3 linked regions of the Struthio camelus genome follow. The protein of the gene in region 1 binds, or shares a complex with, the protein of each later gene. Links are inferred from orthologs where the notes say so. Each region holds a gene or a part of one and is shown on either strand. Other genes may lie near its edges. The genes, in order: TIMM50, mitochondrial import inner membrane translocase subunit Tim23 and TIMM17A.

Evidence for each region.
Region 2: TIMM50 (region 1) and mitochondrial import inner membrane translocase subunit Tim23 share a complex: the UniProt entries of both Homo sapiens proteins name them as parts of the TIM23 complex. The link is inferred for Struthio camelus from reciprocal best matches to the Homo sapiens genes TIMM50 and TIMM23.
Region 3: TIMM50 (region 1) and TIMM17A share a complex: the UniProt entries of both Homo sapiens proteins name them as parts of the TIM23 complex. The link is inferred for Struthio camelus from reciprocal best matches to the Homo sapiens genes TIMM50 and TIMM17A.

What each region holds. Positions count from the first base shown.
Region 1 is NC_090957.1:1,563,337-1,568,146, reverse strand, and holds the start of TIMM50 (mitochondrial import inner membrane translocase subunit TIM50), read left to right. Parts: upstream 1-1,850; 5' UTR 1,851-1,963; intron 1,964-2,037; 5' UTR 2,038-2,069; intron 2,070-2,485; 5' UTR 2,486-2,507; intron 2,508-3,037; 5' UTR 3,038-3,096; intron 3,097-3,346; coding exon 3,347-3,466; intron 3,467-3,553; coding exon 3,554-3,658; intron 3,659-3,744; coding exon 3,745-3,843; intron 3,844-3,920; coding exon 3,921-4,077; intron 4,078-4,175; coding exon 4,176-4,282; intron 4,283-4,810. UniProt on the Homo sapiens protein: Essential component of the TIM23 complex, a complex that mediates the translocation of transit peptide-containing proteins across the mitochondrial inner membrane. Has some phosphatase activity in vitro; however such activity may not be relevant in vivo.
Region 2 is NC_090948.1:33,171,499-33,176,308, reverse strand, and holds the start of mitochondrial import inner membrane translocase subunit Tim23, read right to left. Parts: upstream 3,473-4,810; 5' UTR 3,364-3,472; coding exon 3,270-3,363; intron 2,823-3,269; coding exon 2,764-2,822; intron 1-2,763. Other genes in the region: PARG (poly(ADP-ribose) glycohydrolase), read left to right, coding at 3,836-4,001. UniProt on the Homo sapiens protein: Essential component of the TIM23 complex, a complex that mediates the translocation of transit peptide-containing proteins across the mitochondrial inner membrane.
Region 3 is NC_090965.1:3,978,945-3,983,754, reverse strand, and holds the start of TIMM17A (mitochondrial import inner membrane translocase subunit Tim17-A), read left to right. Parts: upstream 1-1,535; 5' UTR 1,536-1,633; coding exon 1,634-1,659; intron 1,660-4,660; exon of another isoform or gene 4,661-4,810. UniProt on the Homo sapiens protein: Essential component of the TIM23 complex, a complex that mediates the translocation of transit peptide-containing proteins across the mitochondrial inner membrane.

The sequences.
Region 1 (4,810 bases):
GAGGGGTCGTGGGGGTGTTTGGGGGGGTGAGGAGGGGGGAAAGAGGGGCCATGGGGCGTTTGGGGGTCTGGGGGGGTCAAGAGGGGTGTCGTGGGGGGTGTTTGGGGGGGGGTCTGAGGGGGTGAGGAGGGGGGAAAGAGGGGCCATGGGGCGTTTGGGGGTCTGGGGGGGTCAGGAGGGGTCGTGGGGGGTGTTTGGGGGGGGTCTGAGGGGGTGAGGAGGGGGGAAAGAGGGGCCATGTGGCGTTTGGGGGTTGGGCGGGGTCAGGAGGGGGTCTGGGGGGTATTTGGGGGGTCAAGAGGAGGGAAAGAGAGGCCATGGGGCGTTTGGGGGTCTGGGGGGGTCAAGAGGGGGCCTAGGAGGTATTTGAGGGGGCTGGAGGGGTCGTGGGGGGGCAGAGGGGGTCAAGAGGGGGCCTAGGGGCATTTAGGGGGGCTGGGGGGTCCGAGGGGGGCTGGGGGGTATTTAGGGGGTCTGTAGGAGGCAGATGGGGTAAAGAGGGGCCTGGGGACATCTGAGGGGTCAAGGGGGGCCTGAGGGGTATTTAGGAGAGGGCTGAGGGGAGGCAGGTGGGGTAAAGGGGGGCCCTGGAGGTATTTAGGGGGCCTGGGGGTTATTGGGGGGGGGTCTCGGGGGGGAGGTCAAAGGGAGTCTGAGGGGAGGCCTAGGGGCATTTGGGGGGGTGGTAGGGTCAAGGAGGGGGCCTGAGGGCTGTCTTGGGGGAGCAGAGGAGGGTCAAGGGGGCCCTGGAGGCATCTGGGGGGGGTCAAGGGGGCCTGAGGGGTATCTGGGGGGGGACAGGAGCTAAAGGGGGGGCTTGGGGGCGCTTGGGGCATCTGGGGGGCAGGTAGGATCAAGAAGGAGCCTGGGGAGGGGGTAGGTAGGGTTTGGGGGGGGGGACAAAAACTTGTGCCTGGGGGACATGAGGGGCAGGTAGGGTCAAGGGGGGGCAGGTGGCTGGGGGGGGTGGCAGATTTGGGTTTGGGGGGGGGATAGTTTGGGGGATATGGGGACAAATTAGGGTCTGGAGGGAGCAGAGGCTTGGCCGGCAGATGGAGCCGTTGCCGGGGCTCCTTCAACGTCCCCAGGTGTCCCCACGGCTCCCGGGGTGTCCCCAGCCCTCGCTGGGGCTCGTGGGCCGCTCCCGGATGGCCGTGAGCGTCCCCAGATGTCCCCAGGGCTCGCCGGCTGTCCCCGGCTGTCCCCAAAGCTGTCCCCGGGGCTCCCTGGCTGTCCCCGGCCATCCCCAGGGCTCGCCGGCTGTCCCCGGCTGTCCCCAAAGCTCCCCGGCTGTCCCCGGGGCTCCTTGGGTGTCCCCAGAGCTCCTTGGCCAGCCTTGATGGTCCCTGGCTGTCCCCGGGGCTCTGGTGACGTCCCCGGGGCTCCCTGGCTGTCCCTGGCCATCCCCAGGGCTCGCCGGCTGTCCCCAAAGCTCCCCGGCTGTCCCCGGGGTTCCTTGGATGTCCCCAGAGCTCCTTGGCCAGCCTTGATGGTCCCTGGCTGTCCCCGGGGCTCCGGCGACGTCCCCAGGGGCTCGCTGGCTGTCCCCGGCCGTCCCCAGGGCTCGCCGGCTGTCCCCGGCTGTCCCCAAAGCTCCCTGGCTGTCCCCGGGGCTCCTTGGATGTCCCCAGAGCTCCTTGACCAGCCTTGATGGTCCCTGGCTGTCCCCGGGGCTCCGGTGACGTCCCCAGGGCTCGCCGGCTGTCCCCAAAGCTCCCCGGCTGTCCCCGGGGCCCCTTGGGTGTCCCCAGAGCTCCTTGGCCAGCCTTGATGGTCCCTGGCTGTCCCCGGGGCTCCGGCGACGTCCCCGACCCTCCCCGGCAGGCGGCGGCGGGGGGCACCCCGGGCCCCGACGAGGGGCAGGAGCGGAAGCGGGAGACGGCGGCCAACACGCGGCGGCTGCTGCTGCGCCTGGCCGGGCTGCTGGGCGCCGGCGCCGGCGCCACCGTCCTCTACGTCTTCGGTGAGTCCCCGGGCGGGCGCCGTCCCCGTCCCCGTCGCCGTCCCGCTCACTGCCCCGCTCTCCCCTCCCCGCAGGCAGCAACGCGGTGGACGAGCACGGCGCCAAGGTAATTACCCCCTTCTTCGTTAGCACCCGGCGGCTCCCCCCCCCCCCCACCACCACCGCTTTCTCCAGCGTCACCTTTCCCCCCCACCCCGGCGCTTCCGGACGGGGCGTTTCGGCCGGAAAAAGTCCCGTTTCGGAGGTGTCGGAGGGGTTTTGATATGCGGACCCCCCCCCCCCCCCCGGCGCGCCATCCCCGGCCGAGGTGCCAATTGCCCCCCGCCGCCGCCGGGACATCAAACGAGCCGCGGCGGAAACGAAGGCGCCAAATCGCCGCCGTGCCGGAGCCCCCCGCGGGCGCCCGAACGCCGCCAGGCCGCTGGGGTGGCGTGGGAAGAGGTTGGGGGGGGGGGGCGCTACCCTTTTATTCCCCCCCACCCTTTTTTTTTTTTTTTTATCTTCCCCCCCACCTCCCCGCAGATCCCCGACGAGTTCGACGCCGGTGAGTCCTCGCGCTCGCGTGAACCCCAGGAGGGCTCAGCGCGGGGCGGCCGGGCTTGAGCGGGAGAAAATTCGGGGTCCGGGTGCCGCCCGCGGCGTTCCCGACGCCGGGGGGGAGGGGGGGCCAAACGGAGCCTTTTCGGCCCCGTTTTAACGCTCGCGCTGCCCCCCCCCCCCCCCAAAGCGGCTTTTTTTGGTAACCGCTTTGGAGGTTCCCGGAGGGGAGCAACGCGCTGGGCGGGAGGGGAAAGGGAAGCGGGGGCAGAAGGAAATTCCCCGCCATGAAGGTGCGATTCCCCCCCGCTGGGGGGGTAAAACGGAGAAAAACGAGGTGTTTTAGGCCCCAAAAGGGTTGGTTTTTTATTTACAATGCAAACGCAGAGGGGAAGCTGGTGGGGGGGGGGTCTTGCATTAGGAGGAGGCTTGCAGGGGGGGTTAAACGCCACCATGGTGGTGGGAAGAGGGGGGGGGGTCTCGGGGACGACCCCCCTCCCCGCACCTCGGGGACCCGTCCTCACGGCCGCTTCGCAGACCCCGTGCTGATCCAGCAGATCCGCAGGACCTACAAGTACTTCAAGGACTACCGGCAGGTAGGGCACGGGGACGTCCCCGGCGCGGGGGCTCGTCCCCGTGCCGAGGGGTCTGTGTCCCCCCCACCCACGCCCCGGCGGGGTTCGTCCCCGCGACGGGGGTCTTTGTCCCCGCGACGGGGGTCTTTGTCCCCGCGACGGGTTGTCTTTGTCCCCGCCATAAGGGACCTTGCAACGAGGGGTTTGTCCCCACCGGGGCAGCTCCGTCCCCGCGGCCGGGGACGGTCCCCTCACCCCGCGCGTCCCGCAGATGATCATCGAGCCCACCAGCCCCAAGCTGCTGCCGGACCCGCTGCGCGAGCCCTACTACCAGCCGCCCTACACCCTCGTCATCGAGCTCACCGACGTGCTGCTGCACCCCGAGTGGTCGGTGAGTCCCCGCCGGTGGCCGTCCCCCTGCGCCCGGCCCGGCCCGGGGGACGCCCGGCCGGTCCCTTACCCCGCTCCTCGTCCCCAGCTCGTCACCGGTTGGCGCTTCAAGAAGCGTCCGGGCATCGAGAGCCTCTTCCAGCAGCTGGCCCCGCTCTACGAGATCGTCGTCTTCACCTCGGAGACCGGCATGGTGAGGGGGACGGCGGTGGCGGCGGCCCCGGGGTGGGGGGACACACAACGCGGCCGCCCCGCTGACCCCCTCCTCGCCTCCCCCAGACCGCCTTCCCCCTCATCGACAGCGTCGACCCGCACGGCTTCGTCTCCTACCGCCTCTTCCGCGACGCCACCCGCTACATGGACGGGCACCACGTGAAGGTAGCGGGCGCGCGGGGCCGGCGGCGGCGGGCCGACGCGCCGGCCCCGCGCCCACCCCTCTTCTTCCTCGCCGCCAGGACATCTCCTGCCTCAACAGAGACCCCGCCAAGGTGGTGGTGGTGGACTGCCGCAAGGAGGCCTTCTGCCTGCAGCCCTACAACGGGCTGGCGCTGGCCCGCTGGGACGGCAACTCCGAGGACCGCACCCTCTACGACCTCGCCGCCTTCCTCAAGAGTAAGACGGCGGGGTCGGGGGGCCGCGCGCGGGACCCCCCCGTCCGGAGCCCGGGGGCCACCCGCTCTCGCCCGCCTGACGCCCGCGCGTCCCCGCAGCCATCGCCCTCAGCGGCGTCGAGGACGTCCGCACCGTGCTGGAGAATTACTCCCTGGAGGACGACCCGCTGGCGGCCTTCAAGCGGCGTCAGTCGCAGCTGGAGCAGGTAGGGACGGGGTCGCCGGCGTCCCGCCGTCGACTGCGTCTCGGTGTCCCCCCGCTGCCGTTATCCCTGTCTCGGTGTCCCACCGCCAACCGCGTCTCGGTGTCTCCCCGCTGCCATTATCCCTGTCTCGGTGTCCCACCGCCACCGCTGACCGCGTCTCGGTGTCCCCCGCTGCCATTATCCCTGTCTCGGTGTCCCACCGCCGACCGAGTCTTGGTGTCTCCCCGCTGCCATTATCCCTGTCTCGGTGTCCCACCGCCGACTGCGTCTCGGTGTCCCCTGCTGCCGTTATCCCTGTCTCGGTGTCCCACCGCCGTCGCCGACCGCGTCTCGGTGTCCCCCGCTGCCGTTATCCCTGTCTCGGTGTCCCACTGCTGCCGTCAGCCGCGTCCCGGCGTCCCACCACCGTCATTACCTGCGTCCCAGCATCCCGTCACCGTTATCCACGTCCCGGTGTCCCGTCACTGTTAACTGCGTCCCAGTGTCCCACCACCGTCATTACCTGTGTCCCAGCATCCCGTCACCGTT
Region 2 (4,810 bases), on another chromosome or scaffold:
TTGGTAGTTTGGTTTTATTTGTGTGTTCTTCTTCCACAGGAATAGACTTGTGTTCTCGTATTACAGATTTGTCTAAAAAGATGAATACCAAGAGCAACCATGCGATAACTAGCACGTGTGTAGAGATAAGGTCAACCAAAGCACTTCTGCAGTATTGGACACTGCTGAGATGCACATATGCTGATACGGTGCCGAAGTAGTAAGGTCTCTCTTTATGCTTCTGCACTTTCCAGTCATGTTAATAGTTTATCCACTATGTAATAGTACATCACTAGTACAACCACAGTCTCAAGTAACTGCATTCTAAGCTGTTTTCTTAGTCCATACCTGGTACTTATATCAGCCACAGTAGCAATTATTTCAGGTGGTTGGCAATGTAGATAATATATAGGGCTTCTAAATTTCTGAATACCCTATCAATAAACTGAACCTGTAATATGGTTCCCTGTAGCCAGATATTTGGAGTGTGAAACTGAGTGTGATTACTTAGCAATTTATTACTAGTTTCCACTACTCTGCAAAAAGTCAAGTTAAGCAATTGCCACCTGCATGTAATCTCTACCCTTCTGTAGGGACAACCACCTAGGAAGCCTACCCTCCAGCTTTATGGCTAAGCCTGGTATGGTATTTTATAATGGATACCTGGTGAAGATAAAAGCATTGCAGAAAACATATTGGTTTGTGCCTGCATTAAGAGAAGGAAAAAAGAAAGAGGACTTTAAACTTATGAGCACCATTGTAGCACCCATTATAATGGAAAAGCAAAAACCAGGATCAAAAAATGTAAGACTGTAAACAGTAAGGCTGACTTTTCTAGGCAGGAGTGTGCACTCAGCATTCTGGAAGTAAATGGATGTTCTGCTTTTAAAAACAAGGGACTCCCCACCTCCACACATACTTTAAGACACAAAGCAAGTTCAAGGGCTAAAAATTGAGGTTCTCGTATTTTAAAATCTTAGGCAAGTATTTCTCCATTAATTTTTAGAATAACAGAATTGAGGTGGGAAGGGACCTCTGCAGATCATCTGCTCAAAGCAGGGTCACCTGTAGAGATTGCTCAGTGCCACATCCAGTCAGGTTTTGAGTATCTCCAAAGATGGAGAATCTGGGACCCTTGGTCCAGTGTTTGACCACCCTTACAGTAATTTTTTTTTAAGTCTTTAAATGGAATTTCCTTTTATTTCAGTGCGCTTCCTAGTGATAAATGGCAAGAGCAGTCAAGTGTTACAACACGTACTGTTCTGTTAACCTATAGTGTTACAGCAACAGGTATTTTTAGATCTGTTTTGTAAGTTACTCATGACATCAACACTAAACTTCCTTTCTTTTAAAGTAAGTTTTTTTATTTTTAGATCTATTAGTATACATAAACTTTGCTCCAAAAACTCTCATCTCATACTATTTTTGTAATACTGTGTTCCCGGATACACTGTACTAGCTAAATGAGACAATGTCAGGTGGCATTTTGGGAAGAGATCTATCTATATAATCACTAGCCCTTTTTTCCTCGCTATTAAACAACAGCAGGTGAGACAAGTGCACTAGTGAATTCACCTCAGACAGGGACATATCCTTTGTTTACTGCCTTTAGAGGAATTTTATGTTGTAATCTTGACCACAACAGCTTCTAGTGAAGAAGAAATAGAAAAAACAGTTCCCTCAGCTGCATTCAGAGTCTTTTACTTGCAGAAGAAGTGGTGATGCAGTGCATCATGAAACAAAAGGCACAGATTAGCAGAAACTATACAACTGATTACCTTCAGTGCTACTCCAGCAAAATTTAATGTTCACAGATAAAAACAAGCCACATAATTAAATGAATCATTAAGACATGCTTTCTTATTGAATTAACTTAAACCTTTTTGGCTATGCTTAATATAACTGAAAAAAAAAAAAAAGAAAACATAAGGTCTTTAACAATCTCACTTTCCTTATGACCGCCTATTACAGAATAGTTGAAGTTGGCAGTGATCTCTGGAGATCATCTAGTCCAACCCCCCTGTTCAAGCAGGGTCACCTAGAGCACATTGCCCAGGATTGTGTCCAAATAGCTTTTGAGTACCTCCAAGGAAGGAGGCTCCACAACCTCTCTGGGCAACCAGTTCCAGGGCTCTATGGGCCATCACGTTATGTTAACTAAATGCTATGCTGTGAAGTACAATAAGTATGTTATTCTGCAGATCAAAACTGAAAGCTTTACCTCCTAACAGTCTCACTTCAGCTGAGAAATGAGATGGGGGAAATGGACAGAATTCGCTGCTGCTGTAGAGACAGCACATGCCTGTTACACGGTTTGTATCAGCCACTTTGTGAACCATCCAACTCACGACAGTACAGAAAAACATTCCATCAAAAAGGTAGATAGTTTCTGGCTACTTTTATGTGTTGAATGGGCTCAGTGGAGGGTCTGATAAGTGCCAGAAGTGGGGCAGGGGCAGTGATGCAGCCACATGCCCGAGAGCAGGGAGGCAGAAGGAAAAACATAAGTGAGCAACACCTCCTCTTTTCAGGAGCAGCAGACTATTATGCTGACAGAGCAGCCTCATTTACCCTCTATATCGAAACTGATTTTCTTGTCCTAGACACTATGCCACTGCAAGATTTTATTAAGAACAGTAATAACAATCATTCATCCCCTTTCAACTGTTTAAGAGTTAATCACTATATAGCTATATAGCACTGCATGAATTTGGAGGTCTTTGTACATACCATATCAAGAGTGGAATTAAGTTCAATACAATAAAAAACAACTATTCTTCTCACCTGTACTAGATAGCGAGGGTCCAAATTTAAATATGGAGACAAAGGATTCATTCCAGTTACTGAAAGAAAAGAAGGAACACTTTGACACCACTTCCTCTGATAATTTCAAGTCCAGCGACGTAAAAAGGGCAGAGCTAGTGAGCGGAGGCAATGAGGATGTTGCCGTAACGTAAGCAACAAGAGAGAAACAGTACTGAGAAGCACCTATTTATAAGAAGCGCTACGGACCGGTATGCACAGGGTACGCGCCACGTTTCCGTCACGGCGCTAGGCGACACGGAGTCATCGTTAAGGGACTGGCTGTAAAGAAACGCGTGATCGCCGCCCCAACCCACACGCGGGAAGCCGAGGCGAGCGCGGCCCCCCCCCCCCCCGGCCCCGTACGCGAAGCGGGAGACCGGGCCCACTGGCGGCCCGCAGCTCCGCGGCCGCTCCGCTCCCCTCCGGCCCCCGCGCCATGTTGGTTTCCGGGTGCGGCGAGATCTTCCCCCCGCGCCGGTACTCACGCGGCACCCCGGCCAGGTCCGCGTGGGAGTAGCCCCCGCCGGCGCCGAAGAGGCCGCCGAGGCCCGTGCCCTTGGAGTTGCCGCCGCCCTCCATGGCGCCGCCGGGCCCCGCCGCCAACCGCCCGCACCAACGACCTCGGCGCCGCCGTAAAGCGCCGCCCGCGCCGCGCTGCTTTCCGGCGCCCGCGTGCGGCGGCGGTGGCGGCGGCGGGCGGAGCGCGGTTGCCATGGTGAGAGGGGAGAGGCGGGCGGGCGGGCGGCCATTTTGCAGCGGGTGGCGGCAGCGGCGGCTCCTTGCGCCCCTCGCCGGCCTCGGCCCCGCCGCGCCCTGGCCGCCTCCCCGTGAGAGGGCGGGCGGCGGGGCGAGCCCCGCGCTGAGCTAAGCTAAACTAAGCCGCGCCGCGCCGCGCCGCGGGCCGGAGGATGCGGAGGGGCAGAGGCGCCGCTGCCGCATCGTCGCGCCGCCCGCGGGGGGCGGCCGCCGTCCGGCCCCGGCGGCCGTTGGCGGCGCCGCGCGGCTGAGGCGGGCGGGGGCGGGGGCGCAGGCGGGCCCGCGCCCGCCGAGGATGAGCGCGGGCTGCGGGCCGGACCCCCCCCGCAAGAGAGCCCGGCTCGGCCCCGGCCCCGGCGGCCCGCAGCAGCCGCCGTGCCCGCCGCCCGCGCCCCCCCGGCAGGCCGGGCCCGGCGGCGGCGGCGGCAGCGGCAGCCCCGCCACCGCCGTGGGGAACAAAGGTTTGTAGCGGCCCTGAGCAGCCGGGCGGGCTGCGGGAGCTGGGCGGTGAAAACGGATCGACCCGTTTACTTCTTGACTCCCTCGTTTTCACTGATCTGGGGGGGGGGGGCGTGGGGCGCCCGCAGGAGGGGCCGGTCCGCGCGTGGGGCCTGCGCGGCCCTGAGCTTCGTGCGAGCCGCGCCGCCGGCCTCCTCGGCTCCTGCCCCGCACCCCGTCTTTCCTCTGTTTTGGACTTTTAGGCCCGAAAAAGCCGCGGCCGCGCTTGCGGCGGGGTGGCGAGGCTGGGAAGGGCCCCTTTGCCTGCCTGGGATATATATCCGTTTCTTCTGTAGTCGTTATTATCTTTGCAGTACTTTTATTTCCGTGAAGGATTGAAGGGAGGGCGACGTTACGTCGCAAGAGGCTGCTTGCACTGATGTGCGTAGCCTCCCCCGAGCCTGGCTTCGAGGGCAGGGCTGAGATGGGACCCTAATTTAGCTCCCGGAAGCCAGTGCGTGGCTGCGTATCAGAGCCCTACTGTGTCTAGCAGTCCATGCTGCTTCGTTTTGGAGAAAGCTTTGAGTGTAGAGTGCTGTGTGTACCTGCCTGGTTGTCTGCAAACTTCCAGTAACAGCATAATCATCCACGTGGTGCGTGAACTACCACAAGGTAGTATTTTTGGCGGTTAGTGTGTGTGAGGACGAATACTTGCTGTGACAGAAATTACGTTGTTGAGCATAGTGTTATGCCACGCTGTGGCGGTGGGGTGAGCTCGGAGTAGTGACAGAGTCCCACCAGCTCACAGGAAAGCATGTGGCCACCCTGTGCC
Region 3 (4,810 bases), on another chromosome or scaffold:
AGGCGAAAGGATAAGGGTTATTGAAAGAAATTGCAACCCTAAGAAGGGTCAGATCAGCATGGAGCCAGTCACAGTAGCAGTGGAGGGGTCTGCTCCCAGGCTCTACCAGGCAACAAGCAACTGGGACGAGACTGAGGTTTTCCACTCTTCCTTTCTACTTGTTCCTTCTCTGCTTTCTAGTCTTCTCCTCTCCCCCTCCCTTCTCCAAAGCAGAAGTCACAATACCACCTTCTGGTAATCTCCATTACTGCATCACCATGCTCTTTCACCCGCTGCTCCCATCCTGCCTTAAATAAGGACAAACATGCAATTGCTTCTTTCAGATCACGAAGAAACCTTTACATTTACAAGGACTCTTTAAAAGCCTCCAGACCCAGCAAATTAAAGCAGGAGGAGCATTTCCGTTCCTTTTCATTGCTTCAGCCCATGATTTATTTGGGCAATTAAGTGCCTTGTTGGTGCTCAGACGCTGCAGCACACCACAATCTCCATTGCGTGTTGTGACTGAACAATTTCTTGTCCCGACAAAAGAGCAGCGGGCAAGGTTAAATTAGGACTGTGAAAAGAACGAGTGATTTACAACTTAGAGCGCTTGCAAGCATTTGTGGGGGGAAAGGCTTTGGGGGACTTCACAGGCTGCCAGCACGGAGACTTCTTTTGGCTCCCTGGAGAAACTGCCCTCTCCAAGTCGCTGTCTCTTGATGGAGCTGTTAGGGCCAAATTCCCTGCTTGCCCACACTGCCCAGTCACAGGACCATCCCCAGGGACGCCTTGAGGTCACCCCGGGTGATTCCCCAGCTCCAAGAGCGCTGCAGGAGACACCTGACCATCTCCGAGCGTCTCGGCAGCTCTTGCGCGGAGAGGACGCGTCGCCCTGCGCCGCGGGGCCTGCCCCTGGCCGCACGCGCGCGCCCCCTCCGCGCAGCGGGGCACCGTGGGAGGTGGGCCGGGATGCCAACAGGCAGCCAAAAAGCTCTCTGCGCACGTTCACGCTGTCGTTTCCAGGGTGTCCTCGGCGGTTCCCGGTGGGACGCGCTCCCGGACTGCTCGGCTGCCTGTCCGCGGCCTGGCCTGAACCCACAGAACGCAGCAAAGCGCTTGGTAACGCTTTTAAATGCAGACACATCCCGGCCCGGGCACTGTTATTTATTAGAGGATGTTAAGGGCTAAGTAACAGCAGTTTTGTGATCCCTGCCTCGGGCAGGGTAACTCGACCTGGCCCTCGCCCCGGCAGCGCTTTTACCTGCCTTTTTTTTTTTTTAATGTGCCTGAGTTTTTTATTTTTTTTGCCCGCGCAGGGCACGCCAGCGAGGGCAGCGCCCACAGAAACGCTCTCTCCCCTCCCCGAGGGGCGGACAGCCCCTGCGGCGCCCTCAGCCGGGGGGCAGCGTCGAGACCACGGCGGCGGGGCCGACGGCCTCCCCCGAGTCCGGCGGCGGCGGCGGCCGCACGGGAGCGCCCTGAGGCGCGACGGGCAGTGGCCGGGGGGGGGGGGGAAGACGGAGTGCGCACGCGCAGTCACCGCCCCGCGCTGCGCGTCCTTCCCGCCGAGCTCCCGCCCTCCGCCCCCATTGGCCGGCGTCGGGGGGCGGCCAGCCAATGGCGCGGCGGGAGGGCGGTGGAGCGTGCCAAGATGGAGGAGTACGCGCGCGAGCCGTGGTGAGCGGCGGCCGGAGAGGGGGGTGGGATGAGGAGGGGGGAGAGCGTGCGGCGACCGTTGGTTTTGGCGGGCTCCGGGGGCGCGCGCGGCGCGGGGTGGGGGGAGGGGCGGCCGCTGCCTGCGCCCTCCTGTGCGCGGCGGCGGCGGCGGGTGACCTTGGCGGTGCCGCGGCCATGGCGGCCGCCGCCGCGGGACCCGCCTTCCCCCGCCTCAGGCTCGGCGGGGGCGGGGGCCGCTGCCGGTTCGCGGCCCCGGGCTGGCGGGGGGAAGCTGTCGTAGGGCCCCGCCGGCCGGTGCCCGGGCCTGGCAGGAAGGAGCCGAGCAGGGCCTGCCTGCGGCTGGGCTGCCAGCCCGGCCCTGGGGCCCTGCCGCTGTACCGGCGTGGGGCCGTCGGGCCCGCTGCCTCATTCGTTTCTAAACATACATGTGAATATACATACACACACGCTCCACGTGTAGCAGGGTCCTTTTCACGGAGCCCTTTGAAGGGCCCCCTCAGGGGCAGGGAGGTGCTCTGCGCTGCTGCAACCCTCGCTTTTCTGTTAAGCACGAATATATGGACGTGAACCCGGGCAAAAATTTGTCCGCGTGGCTCCACAGGTGTCTTTGCTAGTGAATTTGGCAGCCTTTAAAACCGATCGCCTTTCAGCAGGCTCTTTGTAAGCATTCGCAGCTGTGTTTATAACCATTTAAAGGTTTTTAGGTGTGGTAATAAAACGTTTAAAGGCAGGCTTGGGTTCAGGAGTAAGTATGTGGAGGTCTGCCCTTCTCCACCAATACTTGTTCGAGACTTTTCTCAAAGCTTTGGAAAATGCTCTATTGCCCTGTTTTGAGTTTCTTCATAAACCTCAACTGTGCTTTTCTCGAGTCTACAGCACCAGGTCTCGGATAGTAGTAAGTTGTTTGTTTTTTTACTATGAGCTACAGATAATCGTGTTTTCCAGTGAGATCACGTGACGGTGACCTTTTGCCGCTGAGCTGTGGAGCGGTTATCTGGGGCCACAGTTTGCGTTTTGACCTGCTTGCTGCTGCTCGCTCCCTGTCCCCCCCCACCCCCAGAGCTGCTGTTTTGGTGACGGCCCCCGCCCTGGGATGTGACCTGCTTGGATGCTGCTGCTGTCGGACTTGGCCGTAGTCGGCGTCTCGGTCACCTTCCTTGGCGTGGGTCTTTGCGCGGTCACGACGGCCTCAGGCCTGCGCGGTGTGAAGTTACGCCGTGCCCCTCAGCGAGGGTCCTGGCGCACGCCGCCTCAGAGGTGCGGAGTCGGAGCTGGCTTTTCTCACTGCTGGCACTGCTCATCGGATGCACTCTTCCCTCTACTGCCGTGGTCTGCTCTTTGCTCTCCTTTCAGGCAGGCATAGATTTTTTTTTTCCGGAAAGTTTTGCTATGCTATCGCTGCCGTTCACTCTGGCTACGTTACCGAGGTGTATGCTATCCTCGGCGTGTCCGTGTCCGTGCTGGCTGATAACGCGTGCTTGAGCTGGTGTGTAGCTGTTCCCGGGCTCAGTGGCAGAAGCGAAGCTCTGGACTTGGCGAGTGCGTTACCCCGAGCCCTCTGGGTCATGAAACCGTTCACGGGCGCTCTCGGTTGCCATCAGGAGCGCTGGGATTACTGCAGGAACCTTGCCTGCAGCTGAGAGCACGTCGTTTTTCTGTTGTGAGTGCTCTCCATAAAATCAGTGAAGCAATAGGAACGTAAAGCTTCTGTATAAGTGCCAAATAAATAGCAGAATCATCTATTTTATTCTATTGTGATAACTTACGTCAGGTATTGCTGGTGATGGTGGAGGTTTTGTATCAGTTTTCAGATACGTATAGCATCTCTCCAGGAGTTCAAAAGGAACTTAGGTATGAAGTAGTTGTGGTGGCATCAAAGAGATTTCCTTATTTGGAGGATAGTTTAAAAGCAAAATTAAGGACCCCACTGAGTTTTACATCTGAAGCAGAGTTAAGATGGAAAAAAAAAAATCTAAGAAAGCGTTTTGTGATTGGGGTCTAATTAATGACGCTTCTGTGAAGAAGTCACATTTTGCTAAATTGAAATTCTTTGACCTTGTGGATAAATGGAAGATGGCTTGGCGTAATCTGTTTATATTTTCAGAAAGCCTTTTAACAAGATCGTCCATAATACAGGAAGGGAGTTGCGATGAGATGTTTTATTCGTAATAGAGTGCATCAAAATCTGGATAGGAAACGTGGAGAAGAACAGACACCCCCCCCCGCCACGAAGAGAACAACACAGCAGCTATTCTTCCTGGCATTGCTGACAAAAACGTGCCTGAAAAGTTCATTAACTTTAATGTGTATAACATAGGAGACTTTTTGGAAAGACAATAAAACATGAAATGGAGCTTTTTTTTTTTTTAATTCAGTCAAAACCAGGGGGAATTTGTAAGGAAATGGAGATGAAAGCATATTACAAGTAGAGCAGTAAAAATACCCTACCTGTAAAAAACGTACCCTACCTGTAAAAAAATGCCATGGTGGGAAAATTTTAAATCTTTTCACTGTTGACTGGTTTCTAAATCAGATATGAGCTTGGGAGGAGGATGTAGCTGTCTTTGTGGAAGATCAGTGATGACATTTGGGTGGGGTGCTGCTGCATTCGGAACAGCAAAGTCAAGTCAGGATGCGGAAAGTAAAGCAATGAAATAATGTCACGTGTCCAAACAAGCGATTTATCTTTATTTAGAAGGTGTGCAGAACTGGTTAGGCCATCCCATTAAAGTGCTTGTAGTGTTAGAGAGATTCAGAAATAGGTCGTGAAAATAAGTAAAGAGCCTGGGAGAATGTTTAGGTGGAGAGACTGACAATTTTGGAAGTTTTGGCAGGAAGAAAAAAAGAACCATGACAAAATCATGCAGTATAACAAGTGGTCCGGGGAAAGGAGATGATGTTGTCCCCCCTTCCAGGGGAAGAGCATTAACATATTCTGTGAAGTAGAAAAGTGGCGGATTCTGAACTGGTGAATGAGGATGTGATCTCACCTGCAGGAGTGTATAATGACAGTGGAGCTGGAGGCTGTAAGAAACAGAAGCGTTAAATTCAAAGTGAGATTGGAAAAAGACATCAGTATTCACGTCTGTGGTTGTTCTGATTGCAAGAGAACAACGTGAACGTCGAGCTTGCCCTGCTAGTCAATTTTGTG